3 linked regions of the Bombyx mori genome follow. The protein of the gene in region 1 interacts with the protein of each later gene in a pairwise test. Links are inferred from orthologs where the notes say so. Each region holds a gene or a part of one and is shown in the gene's direction. Other genes may lie near its edges.

Region 1 (3,661 bases):
TTGCAATAAAGACATACATAAGGCTTGCTTATCCCTTAGGAATTCATTTCTAACTCTTAAATCTTGGTTAGATAATAATGGACTTTCCCTTTCTGCCTCCAAAAGTTCTATTGTTGTATTCTCTAGAAAACGTTCTCTTCCTCCAATTAATATATTGTATGAGAATGAATTAATTTCTGTAAATAGTCATGTTAAATTTTTAGGTTTAATTTTAGATTCAAAATTGAATGGAATTCAACATTGTAATTACATTACAAACAAGTGTTTGAGTAATATGAATATCTTGCGTTCTCTTGCCGGTGTATGGTGGGGTGCCCACCCATTCAATTTAAAACTTTTATATAATGCCATAGTAAGATCAGTTTTAGATTATGGTACTTTTTTACTTCAACCAGGGGATGTGAATGCTTTCAAAAAACTAGACTCTATACAGTCTAAAGCACTCCGAATTATCACTGGAGCCATGAAATCTAGTCCTGTTACAGCATTACAGGTAGAATGTGTTGATCCTCCTCTTCATTTGAGACGTCAATATTTATCGGATAAATTCGTTTTCAAATCCCTACAAATCCAAAATAATCACATTATTACCAAACTTAAAACTCTAAATGAGCTCATAGAATCCTCTTCATTTTGGAAACATAAACGGTTACCATGTTTAATAATTAGCTATAGAAAATATTTGTCTATTCAAACTCCAACTCATCACTCTCATATTTTCCGTCTATTTTGTGTAAACTATAAGGCATTGATTTTAAAGCCGGATATTCATCTTGACATGGGTGTTTCTAAGTACCAACCGCAACCAAATACTAACTTTAATTTCGTAATAGACCAAGATTGGAATGACTATAACCATATATATACAGATGCTTCTAAACACCCTCAAGGTTGTGTTGGTGTAGGAGTCTATCATTCGCAATCAAAAATAGTTGAAAAGATAAAATTACCATCTGAAACATCAGTGTTCACTGGTGAATGTTTTGGAATATACAAGGCCATAGAATACATTTTGATATTTAAAATAAAGAAAACATTAATACTAACCGATTCAAAGAGTGCTTTACAGGCTCTTGCAAAATTTCCTTTTAAATCTCAACCTATTTACCCTATTCTCTTAGACTGCAGAAAATTGTTAATGAGATGTATGGATCAAAATCTTACAGTATCATTTGTATGGATACCTAGCCATTGCGGAATTAAAGGAAATGAAATAGTTGATGGAATTGCAAACGAGGCTATCAATTGTGGTGATATTTATTGTTTCAAAAATTATAGTCATGATTTAGTTAGCCTCCCTAAAACATATTTGAATAATGCTTGGAGTGCACAGTGGTATAATGGCGATAAAGCGAAATATTACCGAAGGGTACAACCAACCATTCCTTCCAAACCATGGTTCTACAAATATAATTTTAAACGCCATGAGACTTCCAGTTTGATACGGATGAGATTAGGCCACACATGTAGTCCGGCTCATCTAGCGACGATCGGAGTGCTGGATAGCAATAAGTGTGAATGCGGTGCGGACATTGGCGATTTAAATCACATTATTCTTTCATGTCCCCTTTTTGATCATTCACTTCTATATAGTTCTTTATCATCACTTAGTATTCCTTTCCCTATATCTGTACCTTATTTATTACATACAGTAGACCCAGTTATTTATAAAATTATTATCTTATTCCTCAACAGTTTTAAACTAAAATTATAATTATATATATTATTTATTCTTCCTAATTATATTAATCCTAATCCAATTTTCCTGCCTAAACCTTATATAACTTATATTTTCTGATTTGCTTTTTGCTTCCTAACCTTTATTTTGAAAGTGGCAAATAACACTTGGTGTTGGGTCCAAAAAGAAAAAAAAAAAAAAAAAAAAAAAAACAGTATTTATGGCCAGACTAAGTATAGTGTGCCTGTACATTGAAGATAAGTAAAAAAATAATAGAAAGGGTAATTAAAGACGATTAATAGAACATAAACCATAATAGAATTATTTTCAATCGGTTTGTTTGTTCGCTACTACTTACTACTTAACCAGTTCCCATTTAGTTTTCACTTGTCGATAAAATAAACAAATTTGGAACCCAATTAAGTTATCGTCATTTATAGGTTCCTGGAAAAATTTATATCGTTAGATGTTGGAACTGACACAAAAATAAAATTACCTAGGTCGATTTTTTATGTTTCCATGACGTTTGGTCATGTACTATTTTAGACCAATTTTTTTGTATATAGTTAGGGATACAAAGAAATAATATATTTTTTATCAGTTCTTTTCACTCCACGCAAGCAAAGGAAAGCTAGTTACTTTATTAAACGTACACATTCTGTATTGGTATAATGGGTGAATTTTTATAATAAGCGGAAACATGCTTTTCCAATAAAGTTACCTAAGACTGACGTGGAGCACTGCCAATCACAATTAATTGGTTGCCTAATTAATAGTTAATTAAAGTCTAATATTTTGTTTGATTTAGCATAATTTATGGTTACTCTACTTGGGCTCCGTGATTTGACTGCTATGTTTCCCCAAGGGCAAAGCTTATCAAGGTCTCACAAAACATATCATTCCATAACATTGTGTTGAACTGTATGGATAAGGAAGCACTATTAGCGACTTCACCGAAAAAATATATATTTTTTGGTACTTTATAATTTTATCTATTATGAGAAATAGCATTGTTGAAGTTATTGACAACTCATACCACGAATCCAACCATAAAAGTACTAAGAGATCTCTAATATCTTCATGTACCATTTCGTGATAAGTGCGAAACGTAATGTGGGAAGAATTTAAAGTAGTATAAAAACATATTTAAAAGTGATAAAGAATCATCTTAAATTAGTAAAGACAACTAACTATCACTCTTAGTCACCTGAAAAGAAACAAAAAATAAATTCGATATTTTTTTTATATAAACTCACCCAGTATTTAATTAATTATTGTATAGTATTATTTATTTATTATTTAACGTGTTCTTAGCACGATCTTTATATTTACTGATATTTACCAGGATTTTTACTGGTGGTAGGACGTTTTGTGGGTCCGCGCGGTTAGATTACAACCACCTTGTCTATTTTAGCCGTAAAGCAGTAATGCATTTCAGTTTGAAGGGTGGGGCAGCTGTTTTACTGTAAAAACTGAGACCTTAGAACTTATATCTTAAGGTGGGTGGCGCATTAACGTTGTAGATGTCTATGGGCTCCAGTAACCACTTAACACCAGGTGGGCTGTGAGCTCATCCATCTATCTATGCAATAAAATAAAAACTTCAGTTGCCGTAAATTACCTCAGTATCATAAGCTATCTACAAACTGATAATTTTGAACCGTCTATAGATTCGCTACGCCCGAAATAATGTACCAATACGGGTTGCTGCTAGAGGATTACGCCAGTAACGGAGAGTTTGTGAACGACTGTATCTTCACGGTAATGCACCACGCGGGAGGCGAACTAGAAAGCCTGATAACGTTGTTCCAACCTAAGATACTTAAGACGTTCACTTCGATTTGGAAATCGGAATTCGAAATTTGCGATGTAAGTTTTTATGGTCATATTTCATCATTTTTCCACGAACTAACTTGTTCTTACACAAAAGGAACATGTTCACAACATATAGCAATTTTACAAATTGTAAATGGCGTGTTTTCA
Region 2 (3,661 bases), on another chromosome or scaffold:
GTAACGCGAGCCGCTTTTTGCTCTTCACAGAGCGAATGCGTTATCCATCGGGAAAACATTTTTTTTACACCTAATTGTTCATGTAAGATTATTTGTATTTGACTCATGCCAATGTCTAAAGTTGCCTGAATTTCGCGGTATGTCACATGTCGATCTTCCTCAATCAGCTTACGCACAGCATCAACGTTTTCTTGGGTGACTGCAGTTTTTGGACGACCTTGACGGGGATCATCACTGAGCTTGACACGTCCACGTTGAAACTCAGCAAACCAGCGATAAATTGTGGTTTTGGATGGGGCTTCATCACCAAATGCAGAAATCATCCGGTCAACACACTGTTTTTGTGTTAAACCACTTCGAAAGTCATAATAAATCATCGCTCTTGAATTTTCTCGAGTCAATTCCATTTTCTCAACGACTAAACAAGTTTGACAAAACCTCGTGACAAGACCGAGAATCTTTTTTTTAAATAAATAAATGGTATTCGATTTTTAAAACCAAGGAGTTTTCAATTAAAAAGATTTTAATATGACAGGAACAGTGGAAATATTCCATTCCCGATACTTTTAGTGCAGCCTAGTAATCCGACTTATCAGTTAATTGAAAATGTTTAATATAACATTTTTCACAAGATCGTGACTGTTAGTTATAATATTGTTTTGTAAGTGAGCCAAGTGTTTATAAAACATTTCTTATCTAACATCAACAAGGTATGTAATGCGGTAATTTTATAGAATCACGTGTGGCTCGATACGTTTAATGACAGACCGCAACTATTGGTTTTGTTTCTTCACAATTTGCACGTTCGTTTTAAAAGGCTTCTTCGAGTAAACTATATAGGCCGGTTATCATATTTTCTCGATCTTTAATTAAGCGCGGCTTTGTCCTCGTAAATCTAGGCGTCTTTAAGATAAAATAAGTACATTATAGTGTTAAGCAAATTACCATGGCGAATTCTATGATTTGATTTGATGATTTTTAGCGTCTCTATAGAGTATTAGCCAAGCCCGGTCAGATTTGCCGATTTTTATTTGACTTCGATCCGATCGCTATAAAAAATAACAGGATCTCCTGGCCTGCTAGCCAATCTCAAGATGTGATGAAAATTCCATCGAAATCAGCCCAACTTTATCGATTTAAAAAAGTGTTGTTTTTTTCGTGACAAAAAGTACCAAAAAGTCATGCCGATTTACTCAGTACTCAGTAACTGCTTCGTTATTGCGTAAATAAACAGATCGATATTATAGATTTACAACACCGTTATTATAATTCCTGTAAGTGTAAGCTATTGGTATGTACATAATTATAGCTACGTCACAAACGAAACGACCTCAATACGAACGGCTTCTTAATAAAACGATCGAATTTCAATTGGAAATTTTCTGTCTTGTTACTCGCAGTCGGATAAGTTTTAAAAAATATTATTTGTCCTCCGAAATATTCGATGTATATACTTAACGAAATTGATTTTGTTTTTGATCGAATTTGTATTATGACTGTGCTGATACATAAAAACAGCAGTCCACGTTAAGAATGAACTAGAATGATTTCAATTCATGTAAAAATTTTGCATTTTTTTTTCCTATCTATTCTAGTAACCTCAAGGGATTATTCTAGATTCGCCGAATTACTAGGTGAGCTCACGGGGCTCAAACCTGATGACGTTGCTAACACGAACCCTAGCAAGAGTCGTGCTTCGCAGAATCTACCACCGGATCGGAAACGCGAACCACTGAGAAGATCCGGCGAGGAACTCAGTGGGCTGTGTCTGGGTTAATTTATTCGCCGAGCCCTCCGACGCAAGCGACGGGTTCGATGAAAACGATGACCGGGTTTTTTGCATAAGCACGCAATCACACATTGATAAGTGCTCAATAATCACTCAGCGATATATTTTCATTGTTAACATCACTAGCGGCAAATACGCATAAATCACTTGTTAATTATAAGACCTGAGAGGAGAATCTCGGAGAATTTGTAAATTTGTATGGGTGATATCTTCTTTGCAGATTTCTAAACGAATAATTGTAAGGGGATACTAAAGATGCTTGGCGGTAGCGTTCTGTGGTTCCGTCACGGGCTGCGTCTCCACGACAATCCGTCTCTTCATTCGGCGTTGGAAGAAACGAGCGGCCCTTTCTTTCCCATTTTCATTTTTGACGGGGAAACTGCTGGTGAGTTTCTATTTTTTTATTGCTTAGACGGGTCGACGAGCTCATCTGATGTTAAATTGTTACTGGAGCCGATAGACATCTACAACGTAAATGCGCCACCCACCTTAAGATATAAGGTTCTAAGGTATAGTTACAACGGCTGCCCCACCCTTCAAACCGAAACGCATTGTACCTTTCACGACAGAAAATAGGCGGGGTGGTGGTACCTACCTGTGTGGACTTACACGAGGTCCTACCACCAGTCGGCGCTTTGTATTTTACTAGTCTTGTACTCTTAATTGATAACGTATAAAATATCATATCGGGCTTAATTATATGGAAACACCACTACCCGCCCGGTTTTACATGCATTCTAATATCCGGATGAATGGAATATATACTGGGTGTTATGAGACCGCTTCCGAAAACGAAGATAGACGATAGTCCTAATGACACCTTTGATGGATGGGACGGAAAAAAATCGGTCCTGATTAAAAAAAAACATTTTTTAAAAATGTTTTAATAGCATTATTTACCCTCCATCATTTTAGTATAGCTAAATGAAACTATAGTTTCATAAAATATACATTACTTTACTCAAAGAAAAGCCAGCAATGAAACACAAAATTAAAACCAGCTGATGCTCGGATCAACGAACGCCCGGGCGCGGCGTTTCTTTTACACGCACACAGGTGCGGCACGGCGGGGGCGCGGCGTTTCGTTTTAGGAAGCGGTCTTCTAACAGCCAGTATTTGAGAAATTACTGACTATATTTTACATTCAATAGGAACGAAAGTGGTCGGGTACAACCGAATGCGGTACTTGCTAGAAGCGTTAGATGATTTGGACAAGCAATTCAAGAAGTACGGCGGAAGATTACTCCTTGTTAAAGGGAAACCCAGTGCTGTGTTCCGCAGACTCTGGGAAGAATTTGGTAAGTGGCATACCGAAAACTCAGTCACATATTTAGGCAAGCTGAGCGCCGTGAGCTTGTCTACTTGGCAAAGCTGGTATGACCCATCGAGACTACCAACATAGGTAGAAGAAATCAGTAATATTTGGTGTTCCTTTTTTCTTTTCCTACCTATTCGCTGGTAGCTTAAGAGGCTATTTATTTATTTATTTATTTATTTGGGAAACAAACAGTACAATACAAAACATACAATATTTAAAAAAAATTTAGCTAAAACAATAACCAAATATGTTTCCACAATCAAAATGCTATTCCAGCTATGCCCAGACGTGTAACTGAGCTTACGGGCTCAACCTGAGAGAACTTGCTAACACTAACCCTAGCAAGAGCAGTGCTTCGCAGAATCTACCACCGTATCGGAATCGCGACCCATTGAGATCCGGCGAGAAACTCAGTGGGCTGTGTCTATGGGTTAGTTCGCTCGTCGAACTCTTCGTCTGATCGACGAGTTCGACGAGGACGGTGGCCGATACTTGAGAGGCCTAAAAGCACCGAAAGTGAATCCGGGGATCCGACCAGATATGTTTCGGGCGAT
Region 3 (3,661 bases), on another chromosome or scaffold:
CAAGGTTCGGTGCTCTCCACCACGCTTTTCATCCTGTATATCAATGACATGCTGTCTATTGATGGCATGCATTGCTATGCGGATGACGGCACGGGGGATGCGCGATATATCGGCCATCAGAGTCTTTCTCGGAGCGTGGTGCAAGAGAGACGATCAAAACTTGTGTCTGAAGTGGAGAACTCTCTGGGGCGAGTCTCCGAGTGGGGTGAATCGAACTTAGTTAAATTCAACCCGTTGAAGACACAAGTTTGCGCGTTCACTGCGAAGAAGGACCCCTTTGTCATGGCGCCGCAATTCCAAGGAGTATCCCTGCAACCTTCCGCGAGTATCGGGATACTTGGGGTCGACATTTCGAGTGATGTCCAATTTCGGAGTCATTTGGAAGGCAAAGCCAAGTTGGCGTCCAAAATGCTGGGAGTCCTCAACAGAGCGAAGGGGTACTTCACGCCTGGACAAAGGCTTTTGCTTTATAAAGCACAATTCCGGCCTCGCGTGGAGTACTGCTCCCATCTCTGGGCCGGGGCTCCCAAATACCAGCTTCTTCCATTTGACTCCATACAGAGGAGGGCCGTTCGAATCGTCGATAATCCCATTCTCGCGGATCGTTTGGAACCTTTGGGTCTGCGGAGGGACTTCGGTTTCCTTTGTATTTTGTACCGAATGTTCCATGGGGAGTGCTCTGAGGAATTGTTCGAGATGATACCGGCATCTCGTTTTTACCATCGCACCGCCCGCCACCGGAGTTGAGTTCATCCATACTACCTGGAGCCACTGCGGTCATCGACAGGGCGTTTCCAGAGGTATTTTTTGCCACGTACCATCCGGCTATGGAATGAGCTCCCCTCCACGGTGTTTCCCGAGCGCTATGATATGTCCTTCTTTAAAAGAGGCTTGTGGAGAGTATTAAGCGGTAGGCAGCGGCTTGGCTCTGCCCCTGGCATTGCTGAAGTCCATGGGCGACGGTAACCACTCACCATCAGGTGGGCCGTATGCTCGTCTGCCTACAAGGGCAATAAAAAAAAAAAATATCAGTTACTTAGGATACATAAAATCATGATCTACTTCACGTATTTTCTGAAAGCTGATTTTTACGTATATTTTGGCCAATGTCCTTAAAAGTATGTCGCCAATACTCCGAGGACACTTTCCGTCGGCCGCATTGCTTTGCAGACGCTTTAAAGCTCCCAAAATAACTTCACGTAAATTCTGAAAGCTGATTTTTATATAATAATATGTCCACCAGACAACTATTTTAAAACCTATATTAGCCGTCTAAGCACGCTAGCAGGTAGGCATGCATTCTTAGTACATACTAACACTACGCAATCGGCCACATTTTGTTCGTTAGAAAATAGGTGACGTCTGGGGGCCCTGGGATCTTACTCTATTAGTGGGTAATTGTAAACCAACCTGTATTCCAGCCGTCACTAGTGAACGAGCAACTTGGTCAGCTGTACCTGGACCTTCAGTTGGAAGGTGTCGCCGCGCGACTCACCCTCGAGGAGGGTATCACCAGTTCCAGCAGTTCCGGTGAAGAGACAACAACCTCGTCCAAGAGGAAACGGGAATACAGCAAATTGGTTATGATATATGAAGAGAACGCTCCCTTCCCACCTCCTTCTTCTGAAGAGATACAAGAGATACCGACAGCCAATCAGTCCGAGTCCTAGTCGAACAGTATTTCTACCACTTCGTGTTGTCGAGGTACAAAAGAATTACGACATTACTTTTTTGCAATTATTATATATTGCAATGATTATACTGGGTGTTAGGAAATCGCTTCCGAAAACGAAGACAGACGATAGTACAAATGACACCTTAGATGATAGGACGGAAAAAAATAGATCATGATTTAAAAAAAATATCATATTTTTAAAGCGTTTTGTTAATATTATATTTATATATTTACGCTCCATCATATTAGTGCAGCTAAATGAAACGTTAGTTTCATTAAAAATACATTAAGTACTTTACAAAAAAAAAACCCAGCAATGAAACATAAAATCAAAAACAGCTGATGCTCTGATCAACGAACGCCCAACAATGAAGACGTGGCTTCCGCCTTTAAAACTGCCAAAATTCTCCAATTATTACCAAGAAGAAGACCTGGCTGTATGGACTAAAGTCCTTTGCCTTTCCCATTAGGGATAAATTAATATCATCATCAACGAGAACGCCCGGGCGCAGGGCGGCGCACAAATGCTTATTTACAGCGGTCTCCTAAAACTTGATATATCTTTTTGTACTCAAGCTATTAAGTGCTGTATTATTTTTCTTCTCGACCCTCGGAGGCTTGCAGGCCTCTGATCCCGATTTGATCTAGCGTCGGTTTTGAACCACGAATAATATGCGACTAGCACTTGCAATGCATCTTTACGATTGTCAACGTTAGTGCATGGCTTGTCTTGTTTATCCTTTGTCTGTGGTATAGCGTGCAAACTGGCCACGAACATGACTTTTTTAAAGGGTTTTTGATATCAACCTCTTTGATGTCTATCTTTTTAATATACTCCTCTGGATCATATCTAAATCGATTTTATGATCGATTCAAAGGAAAACACGTATTATGAAACGCGTATGCGCCTTTGTGTAATTTAATTACATTAAATGTTTGTAGGGACACAGTTTGATTTGTAAAAAATGTTTGTAGACGCTTTGGAGTTGCAACATGAATGCAGACTCGATTTTCTTGTCTTTAAATATTCTATGTGTTGATGTAAATTAGAACATTTCTGCGATATAATTCGCTGCATTTTAATGTCTACATTAATATAAATAGCTGTAATTAATTATGTATATTATAGGTTTCTCACTAAATTTGCTCATTCAGTTTGAAAAATATTTTATGAAAATTTTGCTTTAAATACACAACACCGGTTTTAACTGTGATAAATAATATATTAATAATATATATATGTTATGTCTATGTATATACATTTTATAAATATACCTGTTAGAGACAATAGGCAAGCAGACCTTAAATATATATATCTCTGTATATATATCTTAAGAATAGTTATAATGGGTGTTTATAAAATCTTAATTCAATCAATAATGAATTCTATTAAAATTGACAGGTGAAATAATGTAATTGCCATGTTTGTTTTCAGTCGAGATTTGTTTCTCTGTTTAGGAGCATTTTAAACTTCATTCGCACTTGTATTCTTGAGACAGCTGTATAATATAGGTAGACGAAACAAAAGATAATTACTGTTTGTATTTCTCTTTGTTTGTGCTTTGTGCGCTCCTAAATCGTTTATTCTATTGGGATAAAACACGTTGCAGTTATTTCTGGCACACAAAGGTACCTTTCTGTTAGAAAACCATCAAATAACGATAGATGGCGCTTTCATTCGTTGACACATAAATAATAAATTGCGGATGCGTTTCCAACTTTATATATTCATTTTACATACATATTGTGTTCAAATTTTATTTACTTAGTGTGCTTTTTTTGTTTTTTATTTTTAATGTTTATTTCTAAAGGTAATAAATACAGTAAATGCCCTATTTAGTCGAGATGTCAAAGTGCTTAACGATTAATCCTTTTATTGTTTTTGTTTTGATGCGTCCTATTTTATTTTTTATATCCTGTTTACGGGTTAACGTCCTGCGTAAAATAACTCAAAAATTTTTTTTTAATTGTTGTTGTTTTTATTAT

The links.
Region 2: the proteins of timeless (region 1) and cry1 interact in a two-hybrid assay, tested with the Drosophila melanogaster proteins (5 studies listed by BioGRID). The link is inferred for Bombyx mori from reciprocal best matches to the Drosophila melanogaster genes tim and cry.
Region 3: the proteins of timeless (region 1) and Per interact in a two-hybrid assay, tested with the Drosophila melanogaster proteins (5 studies listed by BioGRID). The link is inferred for Bombyx mori from reciprocal best matches to the Drosophila melanogaster genes tim and per.

The regions. Positions count from the first base shown.
Region 1 is NC_085110.1:8,701,055-8,704,715, forward strand, and holds part of timeless, read left to right. Parts: intron 1-3,348; coding exon 3,349-3,547; intron 3,548-3,661. UniProt on the Drosophila melanogaster protein: Required for the production of circadian rhythms. The biological cycle depends on the rhythmic formation and nuclear localization of the TIM-PER complex. Light induces the degradation of TIM, which promotes elimination of PER.
Region 2 is NC_085123.1:13,776,101-13,779,761, forward strand, and holds part of cry1 (cryptochrome 1), read left to right. Parts: intron 1-2,009; 5' UTR 2,010-2,044; coding exon 2,045-2,174; intron 2,175-2,940; coding exon 2,941-3,087; intron 3,088-3,661. UniProt on the Drosophila melanogaster protein: Blue light-dependent regulator that is the input of the circadian feedback loop. Has no photolyase activity for cyclobutane pyrimidine dimers or 6-4 photoproducts.
Region 3 is NC_085107.1:12,512,557-12,516,217, reverse strand, and holds part of Per (period), read left to right. Parts: intron 1-1,421; coding exon 1,422-1,670; 3' UTR 1,671-3,661. UniProt on the Drosophila melanogaster protein: Essential for biological clock functions. Determines the period length of circadian and ultradian rhythms; an increase in PER dosage leads to shortened circadian rhythms and a decrease leads to lengthened circadian rhythms.